Diceros bicornis minor: one gene and its partners. The protein of the gene in region 1 purifies or fractionates together with the protein of each later gene. This does not show direct contact. Links are inferred from orthologs where the notes say so. Each region holds a gene or a part of one and is shown on either strand. Other genes may lie near its edges.

The links.
Region 2: the proteins of YAP1 (region 1) and PHGDH purify together in Homo sapiens (affinity purification with mass spectrometry, with the first as the bait; 4 studies listed by BioGRID). This does not show direct contact. The link is inferred for Diceros bicornis minor from reciprocal best matches to the Homo sapiens genes YAP1 and PHGDH.
Region 3: the proteins of YAP1 (region 1) and RUNX2 purify together in Homo sapiens (affinity purification with western blotting; 4 studies listed by BioGRID and IntAct, with this or other methods). This does not show direct contact. The link is inferred for Diceros bicornis minor from reciprocal best matches to the Homo sapiens genes YAP1 and RUNX2.
Region 4: the proteins of YAP1 (region 1) and CCDC85C purify together in Homo sapiens (affinity purification with mass spectrometry; 5 studies listed by BioGRID and IntAct, with this or other methods). This does not show direct contact. The link is inferred for Diceros bicornis minor from reciprocal best matches to the Homo sapiens genes YAP1 and CCDC85C.

The regions. Positions count from the first base shown.
Region 1 is NC_080746.1:32,841,634-32,849,543, reverse strand, and holds the start of YAP1 (transcriptional coactivator YAP1), read left to right. Parts: upstream 1-4,908; 5' UTR 4,909-5,340; coding exon 5,341-5,661; intron 5,662-7,910. UniProt on the Homo sapiens protein: Transcriptional regulator with dual roles as a coactivator and corepressor. Critical downstream regulatory target in the Hippo signaling pathway, crucial for organ size control and tumor suppression by restricting proliferation and promoting apoptosis.
Region 2 is NC_080743.1:51,497,828-51,505,277, reverse strand, and holds the start of PHGDH (D-3-phosphoglycerate dehydrogenase), read right to left. Parts: upstream 3,009-7,450; 5' UTR 2,913-3,008; coding exon 2,775-2,912; intron 1-2,774. UniProt on the Homo sapiens protein: Catalyzes the reversible oxidation of 3-phospho-D-glycerate to 3-phosphonooxypyruvate, the first step of the phosphorylated L-serine biosynthesis pathway.
Region 3 is NC_080753.1:20,602,675-20,609,893, forward strand, and holds the start of RUNX2 (runt-related transcription factor 2), read right to left. Parts: upstream 3,009-7,219; 5' UTR 2,982-3,008; coding exon 2,604-2,981; intron 1-2,603. UniProt on the Homo sapiens protein: Transcription factor involved in osteoblastic differentiation and skeletal morphogenesis. Essential for the maturation of osteoblasts and both intramembranous and endochondral ossification.
Region 4 is NC_080763.1:44,739,532-44,747,070, reverse strand, and holds the start of CCDC85C (coiled-coil domain-containing protein 85C), read left to right. Parts: upstream 1-4,531; 5' UTR 4,532-4,779; coding exon 4,780-5,560; intron 5,561-7,539. UniProt on the Homo sapiens protein: May play a role in cell-cell adhesion and epithelium development through its interaction with proteins of the beta-catenin family. May play an important role in cortical development, especially in the maintenance of radial glia.

The sequences.
Region 1 (7,910 bases):
ACATAGCTGTGTATCATAGTCGTAAAGTTGTAGCTCTTCTATGTGGGGCTCTGCCTCAGCATGGCTTGATGAGTGGTGAGTAGGTCTGTACCCAGGATCCGAACTGGCGAACCCCGGGGGCCGCCAAAGTGGAATGCGCAAACTTAACCACTACACCACCAGGCCAGTCCCTAATTTTTAATTTTATAGAGTTGTTATAAGGATTAAATGAGATACTCCATTTAAAGCATTTAGCACAGTCTCTGGCATAATGTTAACTGTTACTTTTATTCCATCAAGAATATTTGAAAATTCAGGCAAATTCACTAGCATTTATTAAGTGTTGTAAGTCTTAGAGGTATATAATATAGAAACACCTGTCTGGTCTGTGGAGACTGAATTTTCAAAATTGGAATCATGGCAGCAAGTTGTTTGAGATCCAAACCCATTCCTTTACTTTTGGGCTCTGGGATCCCTCCTTACCTCTTTCCCCTCCTTCTTTTCTATATTAATTGAGCACCTACTATTAAGCATTGCTGGCATAGGAATAAAGAGACGAGAGGCACTGTTGCAGAAGTACTCAGAGTGGTGTCGGGGACACAGACACAGAAAAATAATTACAACAAACTATGGTAAATTCTATGCTGGAGGTGGTGGGCGGATTCTGTGAGAGCCCAGAGAAGAAGCCACTCACCTACTGTGGGGTGGAGACCAGTGAGAAGGGGAGCGCCAAGGAGGGCTTCATGTTAGGGGTAGACAAATGGGTTAAGTTTTGAAGGTTGAGTACCAAGGGAAACCAGGTGAAAAGGGGAGTAAGGGAGTTCCAAACAGCAAGAATAACATCTGCAGAGGCCAAAAGGTGAGAAGGAAAATGGCTTATTCAAGGAACCACAAGTGATGCAGTGTGCCTGGAAAACAGAACATATATAGGTGAGTCGCAGGAGATTGGTTGAGGAGAGAAGCAAAGACTAGAATGGTTAAGGCCCTTATCTATCATCCTAAGAGATGTGAATTTGTCCTGAATTACATTACAACACGATCAGACTTTTATGTTGGAAAGATCACTCTGACATCAGAATAGAAGTCTGATGGAGCCACATTAACTAGAAGCAGGGACATGATTTTGGAGCTCTGCAAAAAAATGATGGGAAGTGAAGTAGAAGTGGAAATGGACATGGAGCTGGGCAGCAGACTTAAGAGAGCTGAAACAAAATCAACACACGTTATTAACCAGTTGGATGTAAGTGATGATGAGAGGGAGGCAATTAAGAGGACGCTCAGTTTTCTGGCTTGAACAAGTGGGTGGATCATGATGCCATTAACTGAGATAATGAATCAGAAGGAGGATGTGGCTTTGGAGGGTGTGTCTGTGGTAGGAAGTGCAGGAGGTTAGGGGTAAAGAGTTCGGTTTTAGGTGTGTTGAGTGAAAGGGTAAATGAACAAAAGGTGAGGAAGTGAAGAACAGTCATTCGGACTGCTCTTTCCAAAAATGTAGCTGTGGAGGGTAGGGCTTGTGAGGTTGTATATATGTTTCCACAGGTTCAGAGGAAGATTTAGGGATTTTGTGCATGGTGACCTCCATTTCTCTGAGCAGATGGAGGTGATATAATTTTCTGAAGGGTAGGGAGATGATGAATAAATGTGATGAGGAGAGTGGTACAGTTTAGAATAGCCATATCATGAGAATGATAAGCTAATTGCAGACACAAGGAAACCTGGTTAAAGACGATAAATATGGAGGGGCACCAATCCACTCGCCTGTGAGATTCCCTCCAGCTGTCCCCAGGAACCTGGGTGTCAACTAGACTTTCCAGAGGCTGGGAGAGGGCTGGATACTTCTTCTTTTCAAGTCCCCAGTATATTCAGTCATACCGGAATGCCAAGAGAGGGTTATAAAACTAGAGTACATTTCAAATGCTTACACTTAGCAAATTAATACTTTTAACACACAGTGATTACAATGCAATATATTTGTGCTATTCACCAGATAATGACAGAATTTACTTAAAATATTAATTCATAATGCATTACAGATAGTGTCATTTGGTAATAGGACAAAGTTTAAAGTTCTACAGTGAATGCCTTCTTGTAGTCATGTCAGTACATCTCTGGGATGATAGTACAACCTCACTTGGACAAAACGTCAAAAGCTTTGATTGAAGCTTTCAATGAATGTTGGGCACGGACCGCCATAAGCCTTAGGTGTTGGAATGGAAAAGACAGATAACTGGATTATCCAGTTTAATAGATCCAATTCACTAAAATACATGGGGCAATGGAATTGAGGGCATAGATGATTATGAGAGGTTGAAGCAATGAGTTATGATTTCTAAAGTGAATTGGGAAAGAAGTGAAAACAGGAGGGAGTGATAAGTTGGTAGAAAAGAGAGAGGTGTGAGTAATGAAACCAGAGAACGAAATGGCTATGAAGAGAATAGTATAACTGTTGGATTTTGCAACTGGAGTATTTCTGGATGACAGGGTGTGGATACAGGAGCAGGCAGCTAAAGTGGAGTGGAGATGAGGGTCCACTGTAGTTGAGAGGGCAAGTCATTGTAAGACTAGTGTTTTGAGATAGTTATCTATACAGATATTGAAAATGATCCAGGATAATGGTGGGTCTTTGTATGAAGAAGGCGACTCCCTATCTCAAGGTTCCTTAAACTGATAATTGCTCTAAAAGTGGGGCTGGAGAGGAAGAGAGGAGACAAAGGATTGCGTACATGTTATCTTTATCCCATATCAACCCATGATTGAAATTTTATAAATGAGGAATAGTAAATTCCAAAATCTTGGTTGATGCTACAGCGATGCTTACAGAACATAACTCGAAACAGCCTTTCAATCCACTTATCAAAGTAATTTTGTTCTCAGTTTAATGGCAGGTGAAACAATATTGAACAAAGCAACCTCTGCTGTACCCTAAGCCCTTTAATTATAGTGTTCATAGTAGTAAATGCTCTAGTTAAGCGACAGCTTCCATTACAATCCTAGGTGTTCAATCACTGGTTCTTAAGTTTTTTTTCAGTTGAAGTTTTTAATGCATAGTTTCTGGCCAAAGTCTTTGTTTGTGTGGATAGATTATTGGATGTGAGATGAAGAGACTGCCAACAGGGCCCCTAAAGGGGGTTGCTGCAAAGGAGAGGCCATGTTACTACACGTGAAGTAATCTGTGAACATGGGACAATGATAGCTGACATTTATGCAGAACTCACCACATGTCAAAAACTGGGCTAAATACTTACTTTATGTCCATTGTCTCATTTAACACCTCAACCTATGAAGTAGGTGTTATTACCCCTGACCCCAATATTAAGGAAATTAAAAAACAGGAAATAAGTAACTTGTCTGATGTCTCACAACTCGTAAATGGTGGAACTGAGATCTGAAATCAAATCTCTATAACTCCAGAACCTACACATTTGTGGTTAAATGCACTTGACATTTGGGGATGGGAGTGGGGATAAAACCAAGAAGCAGTCATGGGCGTCACTGATTCCTTTTTTCAGAGGAAATGGGAGTCCAGAGCAGCTGATTAGAATCTTGCCTTACAATCTTGAGGGTCTGAAGCCTCTTCCCCTGGCCCCACCCTACCCCACCAAGTGATACAGATTCTTCCTCAGAATTCTCCTGGGCAAGTCCTGGCTGGAGGAAGAGATTATCTTTTTGCTCAGGGGACATTTTCTTGCTTAATCCTATTTATACATCTGTTTCACTAGCATTGCAGACAAAATCATTAAAACAAGCCAGATTTGTTTAGAAGGGGCTAGTGGATTTAAAATTAGAGTGATGTACAACTCTGTGAATATACTAAAAACACTAAATTGCTTAAATGGACCAATTGTGTGGTATGTGAATTATATCTCTATAAAGCTGTTTTTTTAAAAAAATTAGAATGTATGAATTAAAAAACAAACTTTCATTGCTCTTGAGTGATTTCAAATGGACTCCTTGCATATAAGACTGCCATATACAGAACCAAGTGAGCTCCTCGCCCATCCATTTCTTATTCAGTCAACATTCACAGAGTCCAGTCTTGTGCCAGGCACAGGGATGAGGGGTAGGCTCCCATCCCCTCGAGGATGAAAGGCAGGTACACATAGGAATGCTGTAACCGAAGTGAAGCACTGATTTTTTGCGTTGAGCTTTTCATGACCATGTTGCAAGTCTGAGTGTTAAAAAAAGTTTTCACTTTTAAAAAATGCATTTTTTTTTTAGTAAATTACATTGAATCACACATCTAGTCTCAAAGCTTCAAATCACAGTAATCGTTTATCTCTTTCAAGTGGGTTTTTGCATATGAAGAAGTTTAAAAAAATCAAGTTAATGTTAAAAAACGGACCCTTATTAAAATCAGTGCCAGTCTGGGGTATCTATTTTAACTTCAACCTATCCTTGAGGATTTAAGGCCGCACTGGCACGCCGGATGGTCAAGTACAGCTAACGGGAGGGCAGTTTAAGTGGATTTACACGTCCCCTCCCGACTCCTTCGGGCCTTCGCATCCCGGGGCGAGCTGGAAGCCTGTCCGCCTTTCCCGAGGACTGGCGGCGAAGGCGCCGGGCTGGGCGGTAGGACTTCCTGCGGCCAAGGGCGGCCGCGTTCTCCGCAGAGGCCAGGGTTCCGACCCAGACTGGACCCAACGTTCGTCGTCGGGCCGGCCGCCCTCCCGTCGCGGAGGGCCAGGCACGCTCTCGGCCCCAGCGCCGGGAAGCTCTGGCGCAGTCCGGGACTGAGGGCGACTGGGTCACGTGTGGCCGGGAGGAGCGTCGGAGGCCCGGAGTCTGCAGGAATGTTGTAACTTGCAGGGAAAAGTTTCCCTCCGCGGCCGGCCGCGGATCCCGTGCGGGCGGGCGCGCAGAGGAAGGAAGAGCCGGGAGGAGGCGGAGCCGGCGAGCGGCTCGGGCGGGCGGGCGGTTCTCTCAACTTTAGTTTTGGCGTCTGAGGCGAGTTTCTGTCTCAGTCGGGCGCAGCCGCCGCCGGGGAAAAGAAAGGGAGGAAGGAAGGAACAAGAAAAGGAAATAAAAGAGAAAGGGGGAGGGGAAAGGCAACTAGCTGTCCGGCATCCGTCAAGGGAGTGAAGGCAGAAAAGTTCTCAGGCGCCGCAAGTCCGGGTCTCTCGCAGCCCCTCCCGAGGCGCAGCCGCCAGACCAGTGGAGCCGGGGCGCAGGGCGGGGGCGGAGGCGCCGGGGCGGGGGATGCGGGGCCGCGGCGCAGCCCCCCGGCCCTGAGAGCGAGGAGAGCGCCGCTCCCGCCGCCCAGCCGCCCTCGCCGCTTCTCCCGTCTCGGCCCGACGAGCCGGGGCGCCCGGGCGGAGCCCTCAGCCCGCCTGGTCGGGGTGCGCGTCGAGGGAGGCAGAAACCATGGATCCCGGGCAGCAGCCGCCGCCTCAGTCGGCCCCCCAGGGCCAAGGGCAGGCGCCCACGCAGCCCCCCCAGGGGCAGGGCCCGCCGTCCGGGTCCGGGCAGCAGGCACCCCCGGGGTCCCAGGCGGCGCCGCAGGCCCCCCCCGCCGGGCACCAGATCGTGCACGTCCGGGGGGACTCGGAGACCGACCTGGAGGCGCTTTTCAACGCCGTCATGAACCCCAAGACAGCCAACGTGCCCCAGACCGTGCCCATGAGGCTCCGGAAGCTGCCTGACTCCTTCTTCAAGCCGCCGGAGCCCAAATCCCACTCCCGACAGGTAACCTCACCGCCCTTCTCCCCGCTAACTCGTCGGGCGGGCCCCAGGCCCGGGGGCGCTCGGGAGCGGCGGCCGCAGCGCCGGCCGGGGGAGGGGGGCTCCGGGAGCTCGAGCCGGGTGGGGGCAGGGGACCTCGCGGAGAAGTCGAGGGACTGGAGGCGCCCGCTCGGCCGCGGTCCCCCGCTCCCCACTCCTCCCGGAGTCTGGGGCCGAGATTTGTTTTTTCCCCTCGGAGTTTCTGTCTGCCGATTGCAGCCCCGGGGGCGTGCTTTTCCCCTTCTTCCTTTCTTTCTTTCTTCCTGGGGTTCCCGGGAGGTTGGCGGGAGTGGCGGGGGAGGTGGGGAGGAAGGAAGGGGGTGGGGAGAGCTGGGCCCGGGCCGCGGTGGGCTCGCACAATGCGCGCGCCGCCGCGCTCCGCACCTTCGCCGCCGCCGGGCCGGGAGGGGGAGGGGCCCCCCCTCTGGCATTTGTGTGTGGGTGAGTTGCCAGTGGCGGCCGAGTTTGTGAAGTTGAGCCCTGGGCCCCCTTTCCTTCGGGGCCTCTCGGTCCACTTCAGTCTCCTGGGGAGTCAAATAATTGTTCTCTTGTTTTCCAGTGTTGATTAGGGGTGGGGGTTCAACCAGTCCATTTAGTTTCTTGCTCCTTCTCCCCCTCCCCTTCCCCCTCCCCCTCCCGAAAGCATTTATTTTCCTCGCGGCCCCGGCGCTTTCTGAATACAGGATCCAGACTTTCCTGGAAGTTGTTTATGGAGTTAGCTTTTACTCCCGCGCTTCCCTTGCGCCTTGGAACTGGGGCAGGCTCGCTCTTATCAAACTTCGTAGGTTCACGTGTTGGTTTCCCAGTTGTGGACTATTATTTACAGTCTGCTGAAATGCTTTTAAACTAGCCACATGTGCACGTTGCGCAGGTCCTGAGTTGCGCTTTACAATGCCTTGGTTTTAACACAAGCCTTTGATAATACACTGCAGGTTGACTCATAGGCCGAGTCCTGCCTAGTTCAACTGTGATTAAAAGTTAATGTTTGGGAAGCGATGACTAAGTTGAGGCTCGCCATTGCTTTTCTAATTCTTATTGAGGATATGAACATGGCTGTTCCACATAGACAACATTCGCTTATTTTGTCAACTTCATCCAGCAATGAAGTGAAACTATTATGAAAGTGTTAACATTCCGACAGGCCCCAGTAGATTTGTTTAGTGTAGGTTTTCCTTTCTTTCTTTTTTTTAAAAAACTTGCTTCAGGCTAAACTTCAGCCTAGGAACTTTGTCCAAAAGTTAATTGGTTTTCCAAGTACTGCAATGTAGTTAGTCCACTCGGGCTGTAACTTGAGTGGAAAGAAGAGTTATCACCCCCACTCCCATTCCCACTCCCCCTCCTGTTTGCAGGCCTGTTGTATGTTCTGCCGCAGACTAAGGGGGTTTTGGAACTCAGAGAAACTCCCTTGACTTGCTGACAAAAACCTGGGTTAAGGAGGAGGAAGGAAAAACAATTTAGCTGCTTGCCGAAACACTTCAGTTTGTAAGAAGTAGACTTAGGTATGCTTTTTTCTCTTCCCCCTGGAAGTGGGTGTCTGGACTCATTATGGGTAAATGTGTGTTACCATTGCACCCTACAGACTACACAGCTATGCAGCTGGTTACTTAATATGTTTTGAAAGTATAATACATATAGGACATTGAATTCCTCATTTTGTGGCATGTATAAGCCCAAAAGAATTGCACCTGAAAAGTGTACTTACACTTCTAGTAAATAATTGCACGTGAATCCAGCAGTTTATGGATTCGTACTATTCATAATCTATAGTTTTGTTACTTTTTAGTAAGTTTCTTAACTAAATGTTGTGTATGTGTAAGTTTGCCTTTTGTTTCTGCTAATGATTTCCTAATTCAAATTTACTCTGATGGGAAATTCAGAAATGTACTCGACTTGGCTATAAGGAGTAAATGCCTCCGCTGATTGCTTCCAGTGTCCCTTTCTTGCCTATGTGAATCTATGAAGTTCTATCTTTTTGATGATCAAATCCTAAATCTAATCAAGGAATTTAAATAACTATACTAGATTATGAATAGTATGAATGTGGATTGTAAATACTATTGTCCACAAACTATTGGATATAAATTCATTCATATATGTGTTTTCCATTTTTCCATCATGAAAGAAGCTATTTTACAAATGAGAAAACTGAGGCTCTCAGAGATTAAGATATTGTTCAGTGTCACGCTAACCAACTTGGACTAGAACCCAGTTCT
Region 2 (7,450 bases), on another chromosome or scaffold:
AATGCATCACATATAGTAAGGACATTATTTCATGAAACTTGAGTGTGTGTATATACATGTGTGTACACTGATGTATGTGTATACTGAGGTATGAGGAATGAATGAATGAATGAATTTCTTATTGTGGGTCATGGTCAAAGTTTAAAAGCCACTGATTCGTGGTCTAAGATTATTTAAATGTTCCTGCATATTAGCTTTATTTAAGATGTGACACCTGCTGATAGAAGAGGGGTACACAGTCTAAGTAACAGTTTCGCGAGTTCCAAACCAGATGCTTTATTATTCCAAGCCAGTGTTTTCCAAACTTTTTCAAGACCTACAGTAAGAAACACATGTTTAAACTGTGATTTTATACTCACATACCACACACACACAACTACACACATAATTGAAACAAATTTCACGACACAATACTTAGCCTTACCATCTGCCCTGCTTTCTGATATTCCTTATTTTGTTTTTTCAAATGCTAATCCTGACCCGTTAAAACAACTTCATTACCACCCACTAATGAACTGCTTCAAGCCTGAAAAGCACCGTCCTGGGAGATGATTGTACTTCTGACCACGGACTGAGAGAGCAAACTGTGCCTGCCCAGAATACCAAGGAGTGGGCACAGAGGCCAGGCCTGCTCAGGCAATGTCCTCAAGCTTCCTTCAGTATTAAAGAGACTTAAATGGGGGAGGGCAGTGACACTAACCCAGACACCTCTGCACGCAGAATAAAAAGACATAGTGCAGTTATGAGGACCCTCCTCCAGGGTTCCAAGGCTGCCCGAGGAGCCTAACCAGCATTCTGAACCTAATGTTTTACAAAGACAGCCGCGAAGACTGGGCGCTCCCAAGCAGCCCAACAATGCCCAGCGGTCAGTAGCTCCTGCCAGGAGTTCTCAGTGCCTTTAAAACATCCTCCAAGTTTTAGCTCCAGACTCCCAGCACCCAACCAGCTGACATTCCGACTTCATGGAAATCCCCTTTCATTACTTGTATGGCCTGCCATTCTTCTCAACTCTGCACTAACCCCTCCTTGTCCCTACCCCATCCCCAGGGTATAAGATTTCTAATTTCCATAAGAAAGCCACAAAGCACCAAATCACAGCAAATTCTCAACCTGTTGGTCTGCTGGAGGTGAGGATCAGAAGCTTGTCTAGAGGCACTCCACTGCCTTCTGCCCATTGCCCAGAGCCAAGGCCATTGATACCATCCACATAAAAGAAGAGGTGACAAGTGTGATGCGCCTGCCTCCCATCCAGTCCTACCACGCTCCAAGGATCAAGTCCTGAGCCCTTGACCCCACCCCTTCCAAGCTGTCACTCCCTTCTCTCCACTCTTCCAGCAGCGCCGAGTCTAGGCTGCCGGATAGTCTCATTTAGCACTAAGTACTGGGTCATCTGGTCAATCATCTCGCGTGTGTTGGCCAGGCTCCCTAACTAGCCAGCCTACAAGATTCCTGAAGGCAAGGACCGGTCAGAAACAGGGCTGGATACCTGGATACAGCACCAGGGGGAGGAAGGGGAGAAATGCGGGAGGGTCCGTGGAGAAATACAGCAGCAGATACAAGGGTAGACAAGGAGGCACAGGCAGTTTTGACGACCATGAGGTTAAAGCAACAGCAGCCGCCACTGTGGTTTGATTTAAGGGGCCCCCGGAGGAGGGAATCGTGGAGGGAGTGGATCTGCGCTGAGGTTGGTTAATAGGAGGCTACACTGCTGCTGTGGGAGTTGGGGGGTGGGAGAGGATACCTCGGACCGGTGGGGTGAAAAATACCAGGGTGCTGGGTGCAGCATGGAGCTAAGAAGTGCAGGAATGGGGTGTTGAGTTCACAAAATAAATGTCATAAGACTGGACGAAGCCACCAAACCTCGCAGGACCCTTACAAACAAGGCAGAGAGATTTGAAGTCGATGACGCTAATTGTGTATCGTAACAAACCGAGATACGTTCTTGAGAAAGATTTGCTGAGAAATACATATTTTGGGGGGGAGCTTGGGATCGGATTCTACTCCAGTCTGGTCATTCCAGACCAGCGACGAGGACATCCGCTGTGGCCGTGGGCGGAGACTAAGCCCGCACCGTGGCAGCTGCGGCCGCGTGGGCGGCCCCGGGGATCTCGGGCGCCCCCCGCCCACCCTCTTTCCTGCGAGCGCTCCCAGGAGGCCGAGGGGCGGAGAAAACTCGCAGCAGTCTTGCATCAGACGAAAGGCGGGCACGGCGGTTGCTGCTCCAGCCGGGCCGCCTTCCCTGCAGCTTCTCCAGCAGCCACGAGACAGGCTGGAACTCCGCCAGCGCCTCCCAGGGAAGGCAGGACGCAGCCGGGGGAGCCAGGGCTTGATCGCGGAAGGATCACGGGTCCCTGGTTCTGGGCTCCCCACAGGGAAGCCACTTTGATCCCCCTCCCCCAGTGCCCCTGAGCGGGGGGAAGAAGCGGCGCCCGGCTGCCAGGGCCACTGCGCGCGAAGGCGCTGGGGAGCCGCGCTGGCATCCCGCCGGCAGCCTGCAGGACCAGTTGGAGCAGCCTGCACTTTGCAAAGCTCGCGGGAAGCAAGCCGATGTGAAACACCGGGAGCAAACTGAGCGGAAAGTTTGCATCCTGCAGCTCGCCACCGTTCGTTCCTCCCTCCTTCTCCCCCCTCTCCCCAACCCCCAATTTCAAGAGGCCACAGGACTGACTGATACCAAGGAGCGGGGGTGGGGGTGGGGCGTGCTGGCCCGCGCACAGCCAGCCTGTTTCGGCTCAGAATTCCACGGAGCGCTCGTCTTTCTCCGCTCGCCTTACCTGCAGCTCGGCTATCAGCTCCTCCTTGCTCAGGTTCTGCTTCTCCACCACCTGCAGCCCTCCATCTTGCAGGATCTTCCGGCAGCAAGGGTCCAAGCTATCGCTGATGAGCACTTTCCGTAGATTTGCAAAGGCCATTGCTGGAGTCGGCTTCGGAATCGGCCCCTCTCGCCGGGCAGAAGCACCTCAGGCGAGAAGCTGCTGTTCCGGCTGGCGAGCTTGTGTAACTAGGCAGGATTCGCGATCTCCCGCTCCCCCTTTATCTCCCCCTCCTGCTTCTACTCTCTCTTTTTGATTGGACAGAAGTGCTCCAACTCTCGGTGACTCCGCCTCCTCCTCAAGGTTCTGAGCCTTCAGATTCCCGCCCACTTTTTTATTCTCGGGCAATGAACTTCTCAATCTCAGCCAAAGCCCTTCCCCACACCTGGTGAGCAGATAGAAACACAATTTACGCTGACTAGCTGATTCATATCTGAAATAAACTGAGAAATATTTGTTCTCAACCTGAGAGAAATGTTTCATCGTCTTTCCTCCTAAGGACTCATTCTTTAATTCCTTAACAAGCATTTATTGAACGCACATCTTAAGTGCAAGGCACCGTGCTGGATGCTGAAGGGGCGGGAACATCCTAAAGACATAGCCCCTTTCCTATGGTGGCCTAATATCCGAGGGTACCAAAGACATAGACACTGCAAGTTAAATAATAAAAAACAGTAGGAGGGGCCGGTCTCCTGGTTCGTGCTCTGCTTCGGGGGCCCTGGGTTCACAGGTTCGGTTCTGGGCGTGGACCTACACACGGCTCATCAAGCCATGCTGTGGCAGATGTCCCACATATAAAGTAGAGGAAGATGGGCACAGATGTTACCTCAGGGCCGATCTTCCTCAGCAAAAAGAGGAGGATTGGCAACAGATGTTAGCTCAGGGCTCATCTTCCTCACACACACACACAAAAAGGCGATAGGAAACTGTTTCCGAGACCTCACAAAGCAGTGATTAGTTCCAAATGAATGATGCAGTATGAATTATGAGTTTAAAAGAGACCAAGGACCTAGTGCATTTAGACCAGCCAGAATGTGGGTTCAAGTTCAGTATTCTCCTCTTCCTCCACTTCCTCTCCAGACTATGAAAAAGAAGAAAAGGAAAATGAGATGTCAGTCTGGCCTAATTTATATACTGACCAAGGAGGCGTTTCCCAGCTCTTAAGTCCTTATGTTTAAACCCCACAACAAACATGCTCTTCCAAGTCGCACTTGATAGAAATATTGGAAAATTCTGTTTTGGATTATTTAGGGCCACCTAGGATCTGAGGCAGAATCAGGGATGCTCATAGATGAATTAGAATTCAGTTTTATAGACATCCAGCCCAGTTAGCAGTGTATGCTGTTGTCCTGGACCATTCACAAAACTCAAGTATCCTACAGAACTGTGCAATATCAATACTATAAAATAAAAATTTTGGACTGATAGTGTGTAGGCACAAATCAGGTTTTAGACCAAATGCTCCCAATCGGAAAGATCATTTGTCTATCCTGTTCACTGGTTTGCATGATTTCTTGTTCCCACCTTCCAGCACTCATGAGTATTCCATTTCTATTCCTCTCAGGAGGTACCCAGCAGCCCCGGGAGGTCCTGGGAACAGACCGTAGATCTAGCCCTGGAGGCTAATGAAGGGGCTTGGGAAGCACCCATTTTTGTTACCACTGTCATTCAACTCCTCCCAGGACTCACCCTCTACTTTCGTTCAGTGGTTCAGTGTAGAATCTAAACCCTTTATCTCTAAAGTATAACCCCACCCCTTTACCCCAAGTCAAACATCTTGATTACTGTCTGAACTCACAACCCAGAGGCCCTTCCACATCTGTCACCTAGGCAGTATTTTCTTTATTTATTATTTGTGCCCCACCTACTTTCAAAATGGATCCAAGCTACACAACGTAAGACACTTCTAAACCCATTAAGAAAATAGTTAACAGATAAGAGTCCATTTCCAGGTGGAAAGGAGGATGTGTAATAATTTTTACCATGAACAAGCCAGAAACATTCCTCTTTAAATTTCTACGGTATTGTCTTCAAATTATCTCACAATGCCTCATATGTGAACATTTCATGTCTTGTACCCCCCAACTCTCATTAAGATCAGAGACATCATGACTTTATGTTCCTCTAACAGTGCCTAGCACAGTGCTTTCCACATTGTAGAAGTTTCATTCAAAAATTAATTTTTGAGCACCTACTATGTGCCAGGTACTATGGCTTACCTCTGGGGTTGTGGTGATACCTAAGACACACATCTTTCCTCAGACAGAAAGAAAAACAACATCTAAAGTATAGCTCTAAAGTATAAATAGAGATGTGCTTAAGTGCTTTGGGAGGGAGAAGGAGAACCCCCCCAGCACAGCCTAGGGGCACCAGGAAGGCTTCTAGCAAGGCTGACCCTTTGATGCTCATTGAAGGCAACCACCCTGAGAGGCCTGAGGATGCAGAGATAAGTAAAACACAATCTGCCTTCAAGGTGCTCTTGCTCAATTGCCTCATCTTGATAGCTGAATAGGAAGTAGCCAGGTAGAGAAGAAATGACATTTACAAGGACCCAGCAATGTGAAGAACTGCCGCGGGAGATGGCGGGGGGAGCAGGAGATGAAACTGCAGAGGGCCTAGGGGCTGCTCAGGAAGGGCCTTGTCCTAAGAAGGAGTTTAAACTTGACTGTAAAGGTAGTACAGAGGTGCTGAGTCATTTGTTAGAAGTGACAAGATTAAATTAGCTGGCTGAGCTGAGCCCTATATACTGCTAATGTAGATAATATCCCTCCCCATCCCACCCCCAACCCCTCACCCCATCTCCAACATCAATTGCAAGTGGAGAGTTTTTCTTTTATAATCAAGGATAGGAGCAGGAAAATGTTCTTCCTCTCCCTGTGTTATTGCCTCCATTCATAAAAGAGGAACTTTGGCCCTCTTGAAAGTATTAAGAAAATAATTCTGCCCTTCTTTCCAGACCCCTCACTCTCTCCCTTCCCCTGGCCCCAGCCCCTTGGGAAGAGAGCCTGTTCTGATTCATGAGTTTGGGGGAAAAGTCTGTAGGGGAGGAAGACAAATCCTCTATACACTCTAGGTCCTTCTGGCTGGGCTATGGACTAAATTCACATGAGAGAGAATAACAGGAGAAAATCAAACAAAGCTTTATAACATGTATACATGGGAGAGACCCAGGAAAAACTGGGTAACTCAGCCATCTGGCCAAGGATGTCATCTTAAATAGCATCTTCAGCTAAAGACAAAGGAGGATGTTGGAGGTAGTGGTTTGGGACTTCAAAGGGAAGGAAGGCAATTCACATGGAAATGGAAAAGCAAATGTTTGGTAAACAGAACTTTGATAAGAATGGGCTTAGCAAGGACCCTCACAGTCTACTAATACCCAGAGTGATCTATGATGATGGCCCGTCCTGGGGACAGGCCTTTTATCTCAAATTCTTTTAGGCAGTTAGGGGGAAGGCCAAAGTTTCTTTCAGAGTCTTTTCTTCTTAAAAATAATCAAGCCAAGGCAAAGAGACACATTTTGCAGTGGCCAGTTCTGATCCTAGTGTGAGCCCATGCCAACCCTTTGTTGGCTCTCCCCTTTGGAGCTGGAAGTCCACGAATAATGTGCACTCTCCTGCTTCCTTGTGTGTGGTGAACCCACCAGGGAAGGCCCCACCACAAGCACCTGAGGGTGCCAGAGCTACAGCTGTCCAGCTGCTCTGCCTCTAGAGGATAAGGTTAATGGGGGAGGGGGAAGCAGGAGAAGTAGGAATCCCATTTTTCTACTTGGAGCCCAGCTGTGATCTCCAAACTCACATTCTGAGTAATAAAACAGATATTTGGAGAGGTAGATGATGAATCGTCAGCTGCAAAACAGGTACATCTGGATTTGAATTGCAGCTTCTCACATTACTGATAATGTGACCTTGGGCAAATTATATTGCCTCTCTAAGACTTAATTTTCTTCTCTGTAATATGGGACTAATAGTAGGATAGTGTTGACTTCATAAGGTTCTTGTGAGGACTAACTAAGGGAAAGCAAACAAATAAGAGCAACCTGTAGTGCTTGCCTTTCATTCATTCATTCAGTCGGTCAGTCAGTCAATCAACACATATTTATTAAGAGCCTATAATGTGCCAGGCACTGCTGAGGGCACTGGGAAGGAAGCTTTGAACAAAACAAACACAGTCTCTGCTCTCGTGGAGCTTTTGTTCTGGTTAGGGACAGAAAATAAATAAGTAAATGAAAAATTGAACAAGATAATGTCAAGGTGTGATAAATATGATGAAGAATATAAAACTGAGTGACATGATAGAGAGGACAGGATGAGGGGACATCTATTTCAGATTTTATGATCAGGGAAGTCCTTTCCAAGAAGATGATATTTCGGTTGAGACTGAAATAAGAAGTTGACTATGCAAAGAACTAAGGAAAGGAAATTCTAGGCAGATTAAAAAGCAGAACAAGTCTGGCACATTCAAGAAACCTGCCCACAAATATTTCTGTAGCACTTACTGTCCGCCAGGCACAATGGCAGGCACTGGGATAATGGTACTGAACTAGTCACATTGATACCGAACCTCTTAATCTCAAGTTCGTGTGCCTGATGCACAGTAAACCAATCACTGAGACATCAGTGCTTGGAGATGGAGAAAGG
Region 3 (7,219 bases), on another chromosome or scaffold:
TGTTAAACACAGGCATGGAGGTGGAAAACATTGCGAGTCAAGTTTTAGGTTAACTGTTTTTCAATTAAAATATATAATTTTATATGTCCATGTGTTGTCTACGGTTTTGTTTACTGTTTGAAAGTAAAATTACTCTGTAATTAACAAGTATAACTAATAGCAAAGAAAGCAATTTATTTTCAAAATTAATTTTAAAATGGTGGTAATGAGAAAATCTAAAGATAACCAAAATATCTGAGAAAAGCTCAAACTAAATTGCATTCTCTTTATGCCAAAAACATCTTTTCTATCCAAAATACTAATACTCAAAATTAACTCAGCAGCATAAACATAAGAGAATAGTTTAAGACAGTTATACCTAAAATACGTTTAGCAGAACAAACGGAATGTAAAACATCGAACATCTAAAGGATATCTTTAAAAATGTAGGCACCTATCCTTATATTTTCACATATCTTGACTTGTGGCATTGTATAGACAAAATATCTACTTATTTGCATTATTTGCTGTTTTCACTCAGGTTTTTTGTTTATGTTTTGAGGTTTTTTTTGGGGGGGAAGGTTGGTGGAAACAAATTTCTCACATAAGGCTAAATAGAAAATTCTAGGCCCTTGGACGATGAACATTGTAAAAGATATCTCTTGTATGGAAATTCAAACTTCTACAATTCACATATATTCTGAGTTTTTCATATTTCAAGGAAGAAAATATAACCTACAAAATGGGTAGTTTACAAAAGGAGAAATGGGACGGTTAAAAAAAAAAACACATTTCTTGAGCCAACTGCAAAATGAAACTTGCCCCAGAACGCAACATCCCCTTTCCATAACAATTCATTCTGATTTCTTTTCTGATATAAGACCCAGCGAGATACCCAGCTCTAATTGACCTGGACTCCTCTTTCCACGCCACCCACACACGGAATCTGAATTGGTGCGTGGGGGGCAGGGGGCCGATCAACAAATGGGAACTGCCGGTGGCCCGTGGGAGTTTCGCCCCAGGATTCCCAATGCAGGAACTGGCACGATTCCTCCCCATTTTCCCCCTCCCTCAAGGCCTTGCTCACCCTGCTCTCCAGAGACCCCAGAACCCAGGGGACCCAGGCCCACCTTCACGAGTTCAGAGGCTACACAAGGCCGGAAGCGCCTTTCGGAGCGCGCTCTCCTCCCTGTCTGGCTCATCGCCCCCTCCATCCCCGGCGTCCAGTCCCGCGAGTGAGGACAGCCCAGGAACCCGTTTCCCCATCAACCCGCCGCGCGCTCGGCCTCGGGGGCTCCGCGTCTCCCCCTGGCGAGGGCTGCCCGGGGAAATCCTGATCGCATTACGGAACCCCCTCGGGCTCCTGTGAGAGGCTCGGGACCTGACACCCTCAACCTGCAGCGCCGCCGCCTGCGATCCCGCCGCCGACACCCGCCCTCCAACTAACGGGCCGGGCTGGCGGAGGAGGCCGCGGGGCGCGCCGAGGGCGCTCTTAAGCCCCAGGGGTCACTCCCTCCGCGCCCAGGCCACCGGCCCGAGCCTCCCACGACCTTTCAGAAGCAGGAGGGACCCGTGGGATTTCAGTCCTCTGAAAGTCATCGTAAGACAAATCCGCACATTTCATCTCTGTTCAAGGCGGGCGAACTGAAGGCATTTCACAGGTTTCCTCATCCCTCCCAGGCGGGGCGCAGCGGGGAGCTGGTCCGGGCTGAACCGGGCGGCCCGAGCCCCCGCCCCCTCCACTGGCCCGCGCCGCCCCGCACTCGAGGGTCAGGCGCCCAGGACCCGGGCGCGCGCCGACCCCAGCGGCCCCGCCTTCCTCCGGTAACGGGAACTGGCGCGGGGCTGTAAGCCGCGCAAACGCCCCCGTCCTGTCTCCCTCTCACCCTCCCCGGGTCCCTAGGTTCGCCCGGGACCCTCTTGGACACGCGTAACGCGGCCCACGGGCCGCAGCCGGCACCCGGCGCCCAGTCGCGGGCGCGAACGCCTGGCGCCGGCGCCCCACGAACAGTGGCCCCCGAGCCCGGGAGGGGCCGGGCCGCTGAGGCTCAAGCGGGTCAGAGAAGGGGTCGCCGAGACGGGTGGCGGGGCGTTCCGCGAGGAAGGAGGAAGGTGGGAGCGCGCGGAATCCAGGCGAGGGGGGCGCGGGCAGCCCGCGGTGTGGGGTCGCCGGGATGCCCGGGGAGAGGGGATGCCCCGGAGTCCAGGGGAGAATGCCGGGGATCCTCGCCCCTGGGGAGTGGGGGGCGGGGTGGAGCAAGTCGGGGTGGCGGCGCAAGGAGTGGGCACCTGGGGGCTGCTGGGGGGAGGGGAGACGGCTCAGAGGAGTGGGTTAGAACATGGGCCGGGAGGCTGGAGGGGTGATGAACGGATGAAGGGGACAAGGGCTGCGGTGGTGGCTGCGGGCACAGGTGGGAGAGGGAAGCATCTGCGCAGGGTCACTGCGCCCTGAGCCCGCAGGGGGATCTGGAGGAAGAGGGCCAGCCAGGGGTCCCTCGGGTCAGAGCCACCAAGGTAGGAGGCCTTGGAGGCCGTCCGGGCGCCGGCCCCCGCGGGCAGAGAGACGCCGGCGGGCAGGTCCCGCGGCGCCCAGCCGGGGGCGGGGGGCGGCCGCAGCTGCTTACCTTGAAGGCCACGGGCAGGGTCTTGTTGCAGCGCCAGTGCGAGGGCAGCACGGAGCACAGGAAGTTGGGGCTGTCGGTGCGGACAAGCTCGGCCGGGTGGTCAGCGATGATCTCCACCATGGTGCGGTTGTCGTGCGGCGGCCGCAACCGGGGCACCGCGGCCGCTGCTGCCGCCGCCGCCGCCGCCGCTGCCGCCGCCGCCGCCTCTTGCTGCTGCTGTTGCTGCTGCTGCTGCTGTTGCTGCTGCTGCTGTTGCTGCTGCTGCTGCTGCTGTTGCGCAGCCACCACCGGGCTCACGTCGCTCATCTTGCCGGGCTGCAGGCTGCTGGAGGGGGGGCTGAAGCGCCGGCTGGTGCTCGGATCTACGGGAATACGCATCACAACAGCCACAAGTTAGCGAAGTGGCCGGGGGAGGGGGAGGAGGGTGGAAATGAGGGGCGAGGAGGAGGAAATTGGGGGGGGTGGAGGCGAGACGGGGGAAAGGGGATGGAGGTGATGGGGCTGAGGAGGTGAGAAATCAAGTTCGATGAAGCCAACTGCCGGGTGGAGTCTGACGGGCCCCGCGGTGGCGGTGCGGAGCAGTTGGGTTGGCGGGTGGGGAGACCCGGGAGGCGCTGATCCTGCCGAAGCCTTTGGAACACCCGGGGTGGCAGCTGCGAACCGGCGCGGGGATGTGTTTCGCCCGGCGAGGCGGGGGGCTTCAGTTTGCAGCTTGGAGTGGGGTCCCTTGGGGCACCACGTCCTGGGTGCGCTGGCGCCCCCTCCCAGTTGGAGTCCGGCGGTGGAGCGGAGTGAGTTCAGCAGTCCAGCTCCGGGGTCGGCATAGCCGCGCGCCACCCGCCACCGCCGCGCCGCGCCACGCCGAGCGCAGCTCCCCAGCTGCAGGCGTCCGCGCCGCCGCCCGCCCGCGCCGCTGCCGCCGCCTCCTCCGCGGCGGCCGCCGCTCCCCCCGCGCCGGCTGCACGCTCAGATTCCTCCCGCGGCGGCTGCCAGCCCGGCCCCCGGGCTCGGCTCCTTCCTTTCCCTTCTCTTCTTCTCGCCCTCTCACCGCCACCTCCTTGCATCCACTCCCTCCTGCTCTTTGCAAAGCTCCCCTGATCCTCGCGCTTCGAGGTGCCCAGAGGTAAGTCGCGGGCAGCGGAGCTCGGGGCAACGGATCTCGAGCCTGCGAATCGCAGCCGCTGCCGCCGCCCGCCGGCCGCGAGAAGGAGCCCCCCGGACGCCGCGCGCAGCTTCCGAAGCCGAGAGAGGCGGCCCCGGTCTAGGGGGAATCTCGCCTGGTTGCGTCCTCTTGCTTCTCCCCCCTCCCCCCAGGACAAGGAACCCCCTCTTGGTCGGATGAGGTTGAAGCTGAGACGCCAGAGAGCCGCCGGCTGATCTGACTGTCGTTATTTTTCGTTGTAACTTCAGGAGAGGAGGAAGGAAAATTCTTGAGCGTCTGTGCTGACTTCTCAGTACTCTTCACCCTTCCCCCACCCCACCCCCACCTCTGCCCGAGCGGCTCCTGGGGAAAAAAAGATTTTGCAGGGTTTGGGTGCTTTTTTGTCTTAAGTGACACAAAAAATTGGGGTGGAGGGAGCACTTGTCAAAATAGTTTTTAGAAACTCAAGTGGGTGGCTGGACACTTTTGTCTTCTATATTCAAACTTGTCGTTCCTAGAGAACAAGGATGAGTTTTTTTAAGGACTGGAAAACTGTCGGCTTGATGATTAAAATAAGTTGCAAAAACCTTGCTGGGGAAAAACCCCAGCAGTCTTCCATGAATTTCAATCTTTTATTAAGTCTATTCTGCATCTAAAACTAAGTCTAATGTCTTAACTTTCTTCCCCACCACTCCCGGGGGGGGGGAATAAAAATACAAAATAAAATATTCAAAATGATTCAATGGCTATTTATTTATGTATTTATTTCCCAACCTGGGTTAAAAAAGCGACTTTGGATCCCCCCAAAAAGTTGTGGTCGAGAGGATGAAGGAGCGCGGGAAAAAAGCGGCAGTTTTACCTAAAATGTGGTTTTTGGAGGCTGGGATTTCTAATGATTAGGTTTTTGTGGTTTATATAGACACGACTCTGGCTAAGGCGATCATTACGCTGATGAGAGTCAGAAGCACGTGGGTGTCTCCGACCAGCCTCAAACTCTGAGCCTTCAAAACAAATCAAACAATGTGCGGCGCCCACAGAAGCCGGGAAATCCGCTTGAGGCTATTGCACCCCTAAGAACGGGGCACAGGGCCCTTTCCACTCCACGTTGTGTACTGCTAAGTTCCTTGCTTACTGTCAAACGCCTTTAACCTCCCAAAGCTTGAAAACGTGTTTGCAAAAAGAATCATCAGTTGCCAAAGTTTCTAAGGTTCCTAATAGCGTAGCTGACACAGTAATAAGTGATTTTATAAAATAAATGAAAAATTATAATGCCTGGCCCTAGGAGTATTAAGGAAGCAAGATAGTTGAGTCATCACTTATCTCCCCTCATCTTATTTAAAACAATTCATACACCCATTAATCGGCGAATTTATTGCTCAGCGCAAACGCCTCTGTCACTCTGGTAGCGACCTGCCACAACCCTCCCTCTCGGTTTTTAAAGCTTTTCTTCCACTGGCTGAGACGGCGCTCGGGGTCTGCGCCTTTGCAGGGGCCTGGGAGAACTTCGAGAGCATCGGGGGCAGAAGGGGGGCGCAGAAGAGAAGACCTGATTCCTGTCACGGACTCTGGAGCCCATTTCAAGCGCAAGATGAACTGGCAGGGATGCAGTTGCATGACTTGGAGACCAGGATTGCCCTCTAAAGAGATGCGAGGGCGACTGAGCGTCTTCCAACCGCTGGAGCAGAGGTGGGGGGCGGGGGGGCTAGGCGTGCGCCCTCGCGGGAGTAAGGATGGGGTTCAGGGGGCACTGCTCTGTCCTTCCTCTTTTGGGCTTTATTTTTACCTTCCCTTTCTCCATTCACAATTCCACTCCTCCCTTGTCCGTCTTTCCCTTTCCCACTTTTCTCTCCACGTTCCCGCCTCTCTCCAAAATCCCCCCACAGACGCGAGCTTCGTCGCCGCGCCCCTCCCGCCTCCTCTGCCTTCCCAAGGCCGCCTGCCACCCTCGGTGACGCATTCTGCATCACCCGCTACGACACCCCCTCCTCAACCTACTCCTCGCCCCTGGCCACCTGGCTTCCAGGCCCGGGCGCCGCCGGGGTGCGAGGACCCCCTTATCCCGGCGAACTTGATGCACAGCGAGGAACCAAGCTGTCTGCTGCGCGTGCGATTTTTAATTATCTTTTCGGTCACAGGGGAGAGCTCTAACCCCGGGCACCGCCGCGCCGCCTGAGCGCACGGGGGTCGACTCTTCCCGAGCTGCACGCGGCCGACCCGCCAAGGGAAGCCAGGCTTACCCATCAAAAAAAGACCAGACTGCATCCATTACTCTGCTACCTTACACACCCACTCACATGCATTCGGACGCGCACTCTCGCACATCCACACTCTGACACTTATAAATACACATACGCAACTCACACACACTCGAATCTTTTATTTTATTCTTTTATTTTTTTGCCTTTTAGCGGGGCAGTTTTATTTTGGGCACGTTGTACCACTGTCTAACAAAGATCTCTGACTTGTTTTGTTTTTAAATGTGTGGGGGCTGCAAAGGAGGGAAGAAGTTACAGGAAGTGGATTATTTCTGTGGTCAAAGGGAGATAGAAATTCAGTAACTACCCTAGTAGGTGATATGCCGCCTTCTCTAGGGTTTTCCTTCTTCTCCCAGGAAGTCCACAGAACGGGAAACTTCCAGAAAAGACGCTAAGTAACAGGCAAGATTTCAAATATGGGCGACCAGATGGGCTTTTTTGAATAAGAAATTCTAGGGCAGTTTGAATTTAAGTAATCATCTTGGGGACTTTCCTCTGTCTTTCTCTATCGCTGTTTTGTCCTTTCTTTGTTTTACTTGGTGGATAGCAAAATATGAAGGCCTCAAAGGTTGAGTCCCTTGACTGGGGATTTTAGGGGCGATTTAATCAATGGTGAATTATTTATTTTAATTAATCATATCCGGTAATTCAGCTTTATAGCCTTCCTTGGGCATCCTCCCTCCATTTCACATTTCAGTGGAACTAATATAAGCAGCTCTTGGAAGTCACTAGTCTTGGATCCCTTAAAATATCCTACAGTTATTTATAATGTGGAAATGAAATTTTCCACTGAATACCCTAACAACGTTTCAGGTATCTGGCACAGCGGGTTTTCAGTCTCCTTTCAAAAATATCCTCTTGCTGAACATTCACACTTTCAACTGGAACTGACTTAGCCTGGAACTGATGATGTCTTGGCTCAGAGCATTATACTTAGAGGAAGAAAACATTTTTACAGACCCCTAAACTAAACCTCTCCTGGTAATAGTAGGCACATAGGAAAACCATGAAATTTTACATATGTGTATTTTGTGCTATAGTTTGCATGATCTCACTCTTGAGTTTAAATTTTCTTCTACCCCAAATGTTCAGAACAAATCACCACTAGATTCCTCTTCAGAGGTATTCATCTTTTCTGTTGTATATTATGGCATAAAAAACAACATACATTTTTCTGAAAATGTGGCTACTTCAGAAGATATAAGCATAATTTTCCCCTC
Region 4 (7,539 bases), on another chromosome or scaffold:
ACGCACAGCGGGAGGGACATCGCAGAGCAGCTGGTCCACTCCTCCTCTTTGAGAAGGAGTAGTTTATAGGGTAAAGTGCACTCTTGGGCTCAGATGGTCCTGGGTTCAAATCCCAGTTCATTCGCTTGTGACCTCAGACAAGTGACTTGACCTGCGTGAGCCTCAGTTTCCCCCTCTATAAAACGGGCTAGAGTGTTCCCCCCTCACAGGGCTGCGGTAAGGATTGCACGAGACAACCCACGTAAAGCCCTAGCACGTGCCGGGTACACAGAAAGTGCTCCCTTGACACTACTCTTTGTTAACAATAATCATGGTCGCTTTTGCATGGGCCCTGATTTCTTGCCGCATCATAGCCTTTCAGCCATGCATGGTGACTTCCCCTCCCCGGGGGGGTCGTCAAGGAAGAAATCGCAGAGCTTGGCCCCAGACCTGGTCAGCTGCCATCGCCTCACTGACTCGCAGAAACATTCAGCCACCACACAACCCTCCACTGGCCACACCAGAGTCCTTGGGTGTCCACCAACCTCCGAAAACTGCCCATAAGTTCACACTCGGTGACCTGAGCTTCGTGGAGACAAACAGCCAAGCCAACGGGCATCCATGTTAAATCCTAGAAGGGCTCACGACACCGTCTCAGAAGGGCTCACGACACCGTCTCATAGGGTCGTTATGATCATCACAAGAGGGCTGGGTTAGAGTCCTGGTGCATACTGTGTGCTGGGTAAGTTGTAGGAGGTGATGGTTATTATTATTCTTGTTGTTCCTGCTGATAACTATCAGCCCCATGGAGGGGCCACCCTTCCTCCCGTGGCTCACAAAGCCCTCCTCAGCCCAGCTCCGTTACCTGACTGCTCTGTGACTTTTCGCTGCTGTTCAGTGCCTCTGCAGTATGTTCCAGCAATAAGGCATGGCTGTATCTACACACACACCTCACTGTGGTTCACCTTTGGGCCTTGGCTTGTGTTGTTCGCTCCACCTGGTGTATCCCAGCCATCTCCTCTCTTCTCCTCAATCTGATAAACTCCTACTTGCTCTTCAAGATTCACCTCGGGAGTTACCTCTTCCAGGAAGCTGCTCCCAGCGCCTCAGGATGCTCCCATAATGATGCATTCTGCTCATCTCTGTTGTGGTACCTACACAAAGCATTTACAGTGCATATATGGTTGCACATATAGATGCATTTATGTATAAATACTTATCTAATTATGCTTGTGTGTTCAGTAAACCAATGAATGAAAGTGACCTGAGGCAAGTCATTTCCCTTCCGGAGCTCAGTTTCCTCATCTTCAAAACGAGGGGCTGACTCCATTGGTCACTTGCCAAAGGGTCGCTCATTCACTCAGCAAACATCAAATGATGCCTGCTCTGCGGTCTGTGCTCAGGGTCCAGGCACAGAGGAGAATAAGACAGCCCTCCCCTCCCAGTGGGAAGACAGTCTGCCTACCACCAGTATGCTGTTATCATTTCCCAGTCTCACAGACCCGGCGTTCTGGAATATTTTGTCTACTATGGGTTAGTATACTGGCTCTCTCCCAGCTGGCTCTCAAAAACATTTGTGCAGCTTTAAATGGAGATACACAGCCCAGGAGATCCTAAAGAAAAATATTGAGGAGTGGTGGTGCATCTTCATTTTTTAAAAGACCCACAGCTACTTTCACTGGGCAGCTAGAGAACTACTGTTAGAGATCCACGATTTGGTTTTACTGTCTTCACGACAAAGCAAAGCTTATCATGACCACGGAGCTGAAAAAGCAGACGCTTGACATATCGGGTCCTGGCTCAGCTACAGCGTCTGTGGGATGGTGAGAGTTCTAGGGGGCTTAGCACCTCTTGCTGGACCTGGGGGACGAGGGCCCTTAGGGAGGGGGTCTGGCTTGGACGGTCCCTCTTGCTTCAGGCCCCTGTCTCAGCTCTGGGCCCACCCACCCTCCCGCTGTCCTATTCTGATCTGCCCAAGCCTGTCCAGCCAGGGTGCAGAGAGCAGAGTCTCCCTCAAGCCACAGGGTAGCCTCGTCCCAGCACCTTGTCTGCTGCACCAGGGGGGTGTCAGAGGTGCTCTCGTGGGTCCTGGCCGGGGCACTCTCGGTCCCACTGCCTGTAGACGATGCAAAACAAACCCTGCCTGGATGGAGGCTTTGTTTTTCTCTTGGAAAGTTCAGCTGAAGCTGCTAGCCCTGGAGGATCAGGAGACGGAGCTGCAGGCCACAGGAACCACTTGGGGCCACAACAAATGGGGAGGGGCCACAAGCACAGTGTTAACGTCTCAGTGACTTTCCTAGCGAGCCACAGTATCCTATGCTCATCCCTCCCTCTCCCAGGAGCAGCTCTCTGCAGAGGCTTTGCTCTGTGGGGAGCCTCCAGGGAGCTATTTAATCTGGCTTCCTGGGTTAGGAAAGACCTGCAGCCTCCCCAAGTGTGAGCTGAAACCCCTTCCCTCTCCAAACCCAAACTCAGGCTGCGCTGGGCTCGGCCTGCGGAGCACAGAGCCCCGGTGAGGAGGATGCCCCTCCACCCAGGAGCCAGGAGCTGGCTCACCTGGGCCATGTCTGGGGGACCCTCAGCACCCCTGGGCTTGACCCTCAAAGCCATGCCCCTCTGGCTCATCGTCTCCCCATCCCCCTCTCCTGACCATCCACCTGGAGAGAGGGGCGGACAGGTGGGGAATGAGGTACCAAATCTGCCCCTCTCTGCACCCCCCCACCCCTTCTCCACATACAGGCCACAGTGAGCCTCTTAAAAGGCACATCAGGTCATGTTGCTTCCTGCTAACCCCCCACTGCTCTCCCAGCTGCCTTCCAATCATGCATAACCTGTCCCTCTGAGCTCATCTCTCATCTCTCTTCCTTGGCCCACTCCCAGCCCCACTGGCCTCCCTGGAAGAGGCCACTAGGGCCTCGGCACTAGCTGTTCCATCCGCCGGACTGCCCTTCCCCTTTATCTTTGTCCTTCCTGTCACTCAGATCTCAGCTTAGATGCCCCTCCTCAGAGGACCTCCCTGACCACGGGATCTAAAGTAACTGATCATCACTTTCTGTGACAGCAGCTTGTCTTAATCCCCTATCCGGCACTTACGACAGTCTCAGTTATCTAATTTGTTTATTATCTTCTCTCCCCTCCTTCCCCTAGAGTGCAAAGTCCCCCCAGAGGGCAGTGGCCTTTGTTGTCGTCCCCTGCAGAGCCCCCCAGGGGTCTAGCACAGGCCTGGCTTAGAGCAAGCACTGGGTACACAGTTGTCGAGCGAATGGTTGAGCTGCTGTAAATCAGGACACCAGCCGCGGCGCGGGCGCGCGCTCCAGGCTGTGGCCGCTCACGGTCGAGCGCGCGGGTTTTATCTCGTTGGGGATACCGGGGGAGGGACGCCCCCCACCGCCCGGCTCGCGGCAGACGCGTCGTAAACGCGCTTCGGGGACGCGCGGATAACGAGACAGACTCAGGCTGTGGGAAGACTCGCGTGCCGGGCGAGGCTGCCGGTGGTGAAGGGGTTCTGTGCGGCTCGGCGCCCCCCGACCCTGGCGTTAAGACCCCAGTAGGAGACTTTGCTCCACCCTCCCCAGTGGTCGGTCTCCACCTCGCGAATCACAGATTCTCCCCCGAATTCCCGGGACGAGTGGTCCAGTTGGCGGGGGAGCGGTGCTCTGAACGCCGCTCCGGGCTAGGGCAAGCTCCCGGCGCCCTGGCCCCCTCCGGGCTGAGAAGAGGGTACGGACCGCGCTCGGGACACGGTTGGCGAGGCCCTGGCTCTCCCCGTGCGCAGACGCCGGAGCCACAGCCCCGGTCTGGAGTAGAACCGCAGCCTCTCTGCGCGCTCCGGCAGGGGACGAGGGTGGAGGTGGGGGCGGAGGAGCCGGGGGCAGAGAAGGGGACAAAGAGCTGCCCTGCCGCCGGGGAGAGCGACCCCTGTGTCAGAGTCCTATTGTTCCTCGTATCTCAGACTATGCTGGACTCTGGTGTCCCCGGGAGGGAGAAGGGGAGCTGTCCTCCGGACCGTGGGTACAGTATTTGTCTATCTGGGGCGGGGCAGGGCGGGCGGGGTACGCGGGCCGGGGAAGGGGCTCGGCGCCCATTTCCGCGCGTCTCCTTTAAGGGAAGCCCTGCCCCACCTTTCCCACCTTCCCCCTCCCCGAAGCCGTACCTGCATTTTAAAAGCTCCCTGTAGCCCTGGGATTGGCCAAGGCCGCGTCCTCCGGGCGCAGAAACTTGAACCGCCGGGAGGGGGGTTGGAAGCCCAGGGGTGGACTGTACCATCTCGGCGGCGTCCCCTGCGCGCGCCCCGCCCCTCCCACACACCCCCGGAGAGGCCCAATCGGACGGGCAGGAGGGCGGGACCGCGGCTCGAACGCGCCTCTGGCAGGGCGCCGAGCGGGCGGGCGCACGGAGCCGGGGGACGTCGGGGGCTTGTGGCGCCTCTACACCCGCTCGCTCCCCCGGAGGCGGGCCCGGGCCGCGGCGCCCCGCCCCTCCCCGCCCGGAGTGGGCGGGGCGGCCGGGGCTCCGGGAGCTGGGCGGGGGGCGGGCCTCCGCCTGCTTCGCTTCAGCCCGGAGAGCACCCGGCGCGGCGGCCGCCGACGCAGCTGCGGTCCCCGCTCGCCGAGCCCCAAGACGCGCGGGTTCCCGGGCCGCCCGGGCGGGCGCTGCGTGTGGGCGCGCGAGGCAGCGCAGGGAGGGCTGCACGCGCCCCCGGCCGCCCCCCGCCCGCGCGCGGACCGGCCCAGCGCAGCACCGGCGCGGGGAGCGCCGGCCGGGCGAGGGCGCGGGCGATGCCGCGGTGACGGCCCCGCCATGGCTAAACCCCCGGCGGCGACGGCGGCGTCGGAGGAGCTGAGCCAGGTGCCGGACGAGGAGCTGCTGCGCTGGAGCAAGGAGGAGCTGGCGCGGCGGCTGCGGCGCGCCGAGGGCGAGAAGGTGGGCCTCATGCTGGAGCACGGCGGCCTGATGCGCGACGTGAACCGGCGGCTGCAGCAGCACCTGCTGGAGATCCGCGGCCTCAAGGACGTGAACCAGCGCCTGCAGGACGACAACCAGGAGCTGCGGGAGCTCTGCTGCTTCCTCGACGACGACCGGCAGAAGGGGCGCAAGCTCGCGCGCGAGTGGCAGCGCTTCGGGCGCCACGCGGCCGGCGCCGTGTGGCACGAGGTGGCCCGCTCGCAGCAGAAGCTGCGCGAACTCGAGGCGCGCCAGGAGGCCCTGCTGCGCGAGAACCTAGAGCTCAAGGAGCTGGTGCTGCTGCTGGACGAGGAGCGCGCGGCGCTGGCGGGGGGCGCGGGCGGCGCGGGGGGCGGCGGTGGCGCGGGCTCCCGCAGCTCCATCGACAGCCAGGCCAGCCTGAGCGGGCCGCTGGCGGGCGGCGCGGCGGGCGCGGGGACCCGCGACGTGGGCGACGGCAGCAGCACGTCGAGCGCGGGCAGCGGCGGCAGCCCGGACCACCACCACCACGTCCCGCCCCCGCTGCTGCCCCCCGGGCCGCACAAGGCCCCCGACGGCAAGGCTGTAGCCACGCGCAGGTCCCTGGACGACCTGTCGGCACCGCCGCACCACCGAAGCATCCCCAACGGCCTGCACGGTAAGGACAGCACGGGCCGGGCCGCGCGGGTCTCGGGGCCACAGCCTCTTCCTCCGGGGGCGGCCGCCACTCCAGACCCCTTCTCCAGCTGGCATCGGAACCCTGGGCAGGGAGATGCCGCGGCCACCCACAGTGGGGCTTTGGGTGGTGTTTTTCTGGTCAAGTGGTGGAGGCGTGTCCCTGCCCAGCTCCTAATCTGCAGCCCGCATGGGACCTGCCAGACCCCAGAAAAGTTTCTCTTCTGTGGAGTTGTCATTATCAGTGTCCAGCACCGCAGGGCTGGCTGGGGGCACTTCATTCCAGCCTTGGAGATCCTTGTCTGGGAGCGGGAAGTTCTTCATGGAAAAACATGAAAGGTCCTCTGAGCGCAAGAATTTCCCTGTAATTTGGAGCAACAGGCGGCCCCCAAATCTGAGCAGCGGCCAGTGTGTGCCGTGGCTGGAATGCCACCTGGGCTTCCCCGGCCCTGTCTGCAGTGATGGGAAGGAGCACAGGCAGCCGGGTTGAGAAGGGGAGGCAGCTGGGTCAGAGGACCAGGGCTAAGAGGCTTCCTGGTTTGCTATGAGTCCTGCACTGCTCAGGGTGGAGGGAACTTTCTCAACCGAGGCTTGGGGACTTTCCAGGGGGATATGTGCTTGGAATGGATCTTGGCTTTTCTTCTCTGCCTGCCTCAGTTTGCTTATCTGTAGAATGGAAATGATGGTTCCTGCCTTGGGGATTTGAGGTGGAGATAAAGCCCCTGAAGGGATTTGTAAACTGTTGGTCGCCTTATAGGAAGTGCCACGGTGGTCAGTGGGAGGACCTTTGGCCTTAGGAAAGCCCAGGTACTGTCTTCCATGCCTGAGACTGTTGGGCCCAGTGCAGAGGGCCCCCAGCTTGGTCTGTGGAGCAGAGCAGCCGGCTATCATGCCCAGCCCTCAGTCAGTCCCTCTCCTCCCCGCTGCCTCGCTCCTCTCCTGCCTCCCTGTTCTTCCACATTTTTGGTGGCTTGGCTCCCAGTTCTGGTGGCAATTGCTGCTGGAGGTGGAGATTAAACAGCCCTTTCTGGCTCTTTTAAAGCCTTTCCTCGTTCAGAGAAAATGTATCTAGGCCTTAAATGACTGTGCTTCCCCAGGTGACAGCCTGAGCAGGGGAGAGACGCTGGGTCTTTGGTTTGGTGGCCAAGTGGCCTCTGCAGGTGCCCTGGAGTGGGGGCTGCGGTGGGCACTGGGCTGGTGGAGGTGGGATGCTAGGCCAGCACAGTTTTTCCTAATACCCTCCCAGCTTGTGAGTTCAGGGCAGGACTGGGCTGAGAGGGGTATTTTGTTACTGATTAGCAATCTACCGCTGCAACTCTGGTTTCTCTTTGTAACTCTGTATCCACCCCACCTCCCACCACAGGCTCCTTAAGGCCAGTCTGGGTAGCTCAAAAGTTAGGTGGTTTAATTTGTTGGGGTTTCAGGGTCTGGGGAGTGAGGTCCCAGTCCCAGCCTCTCCAGCCTTGCCTTCTTGGGAGCTTTGGGAGGGCCAGATTTCTGGGCCCCAGTTTCCCCAAGTACAACACAGAGGAGGGGATTGCTGCAGTCCTGGGCCTGGGAAAGGAAAGGGTTCTGGTTTTCAGCTGTGTCATAGTGACACTTGGCCAGAGTGATTCTCTGCAGGGCACTGAAGTGCTTGAGTGTCATAGCGTAATCTGCAGGAAGTTCTGTCGTGTTTTGGACTGGGAGACGTGGCCCCTGTCTGGCCCAGTGTTTCATCTGCAGCAGTGAGTGGTGCAGGACTGGGGGACTGGGCTCCACCTGAGGGTTTCCACCCCACTGCGGGGTGGGAGGGTTGAGGTGTAGGGTTTCTTGCAGAATCCATGCCCCTCCAAGTCCCACGCATACTTGGAACAGGACTGCTGTAGATTTTGTGGTGGCAAAGCTTTGCTTTGGGGCGAAATAAAAATTCAGCGTCATCACAAATTTCAGTTACAGATGGGGTTGTTATTGTTTAGGTTT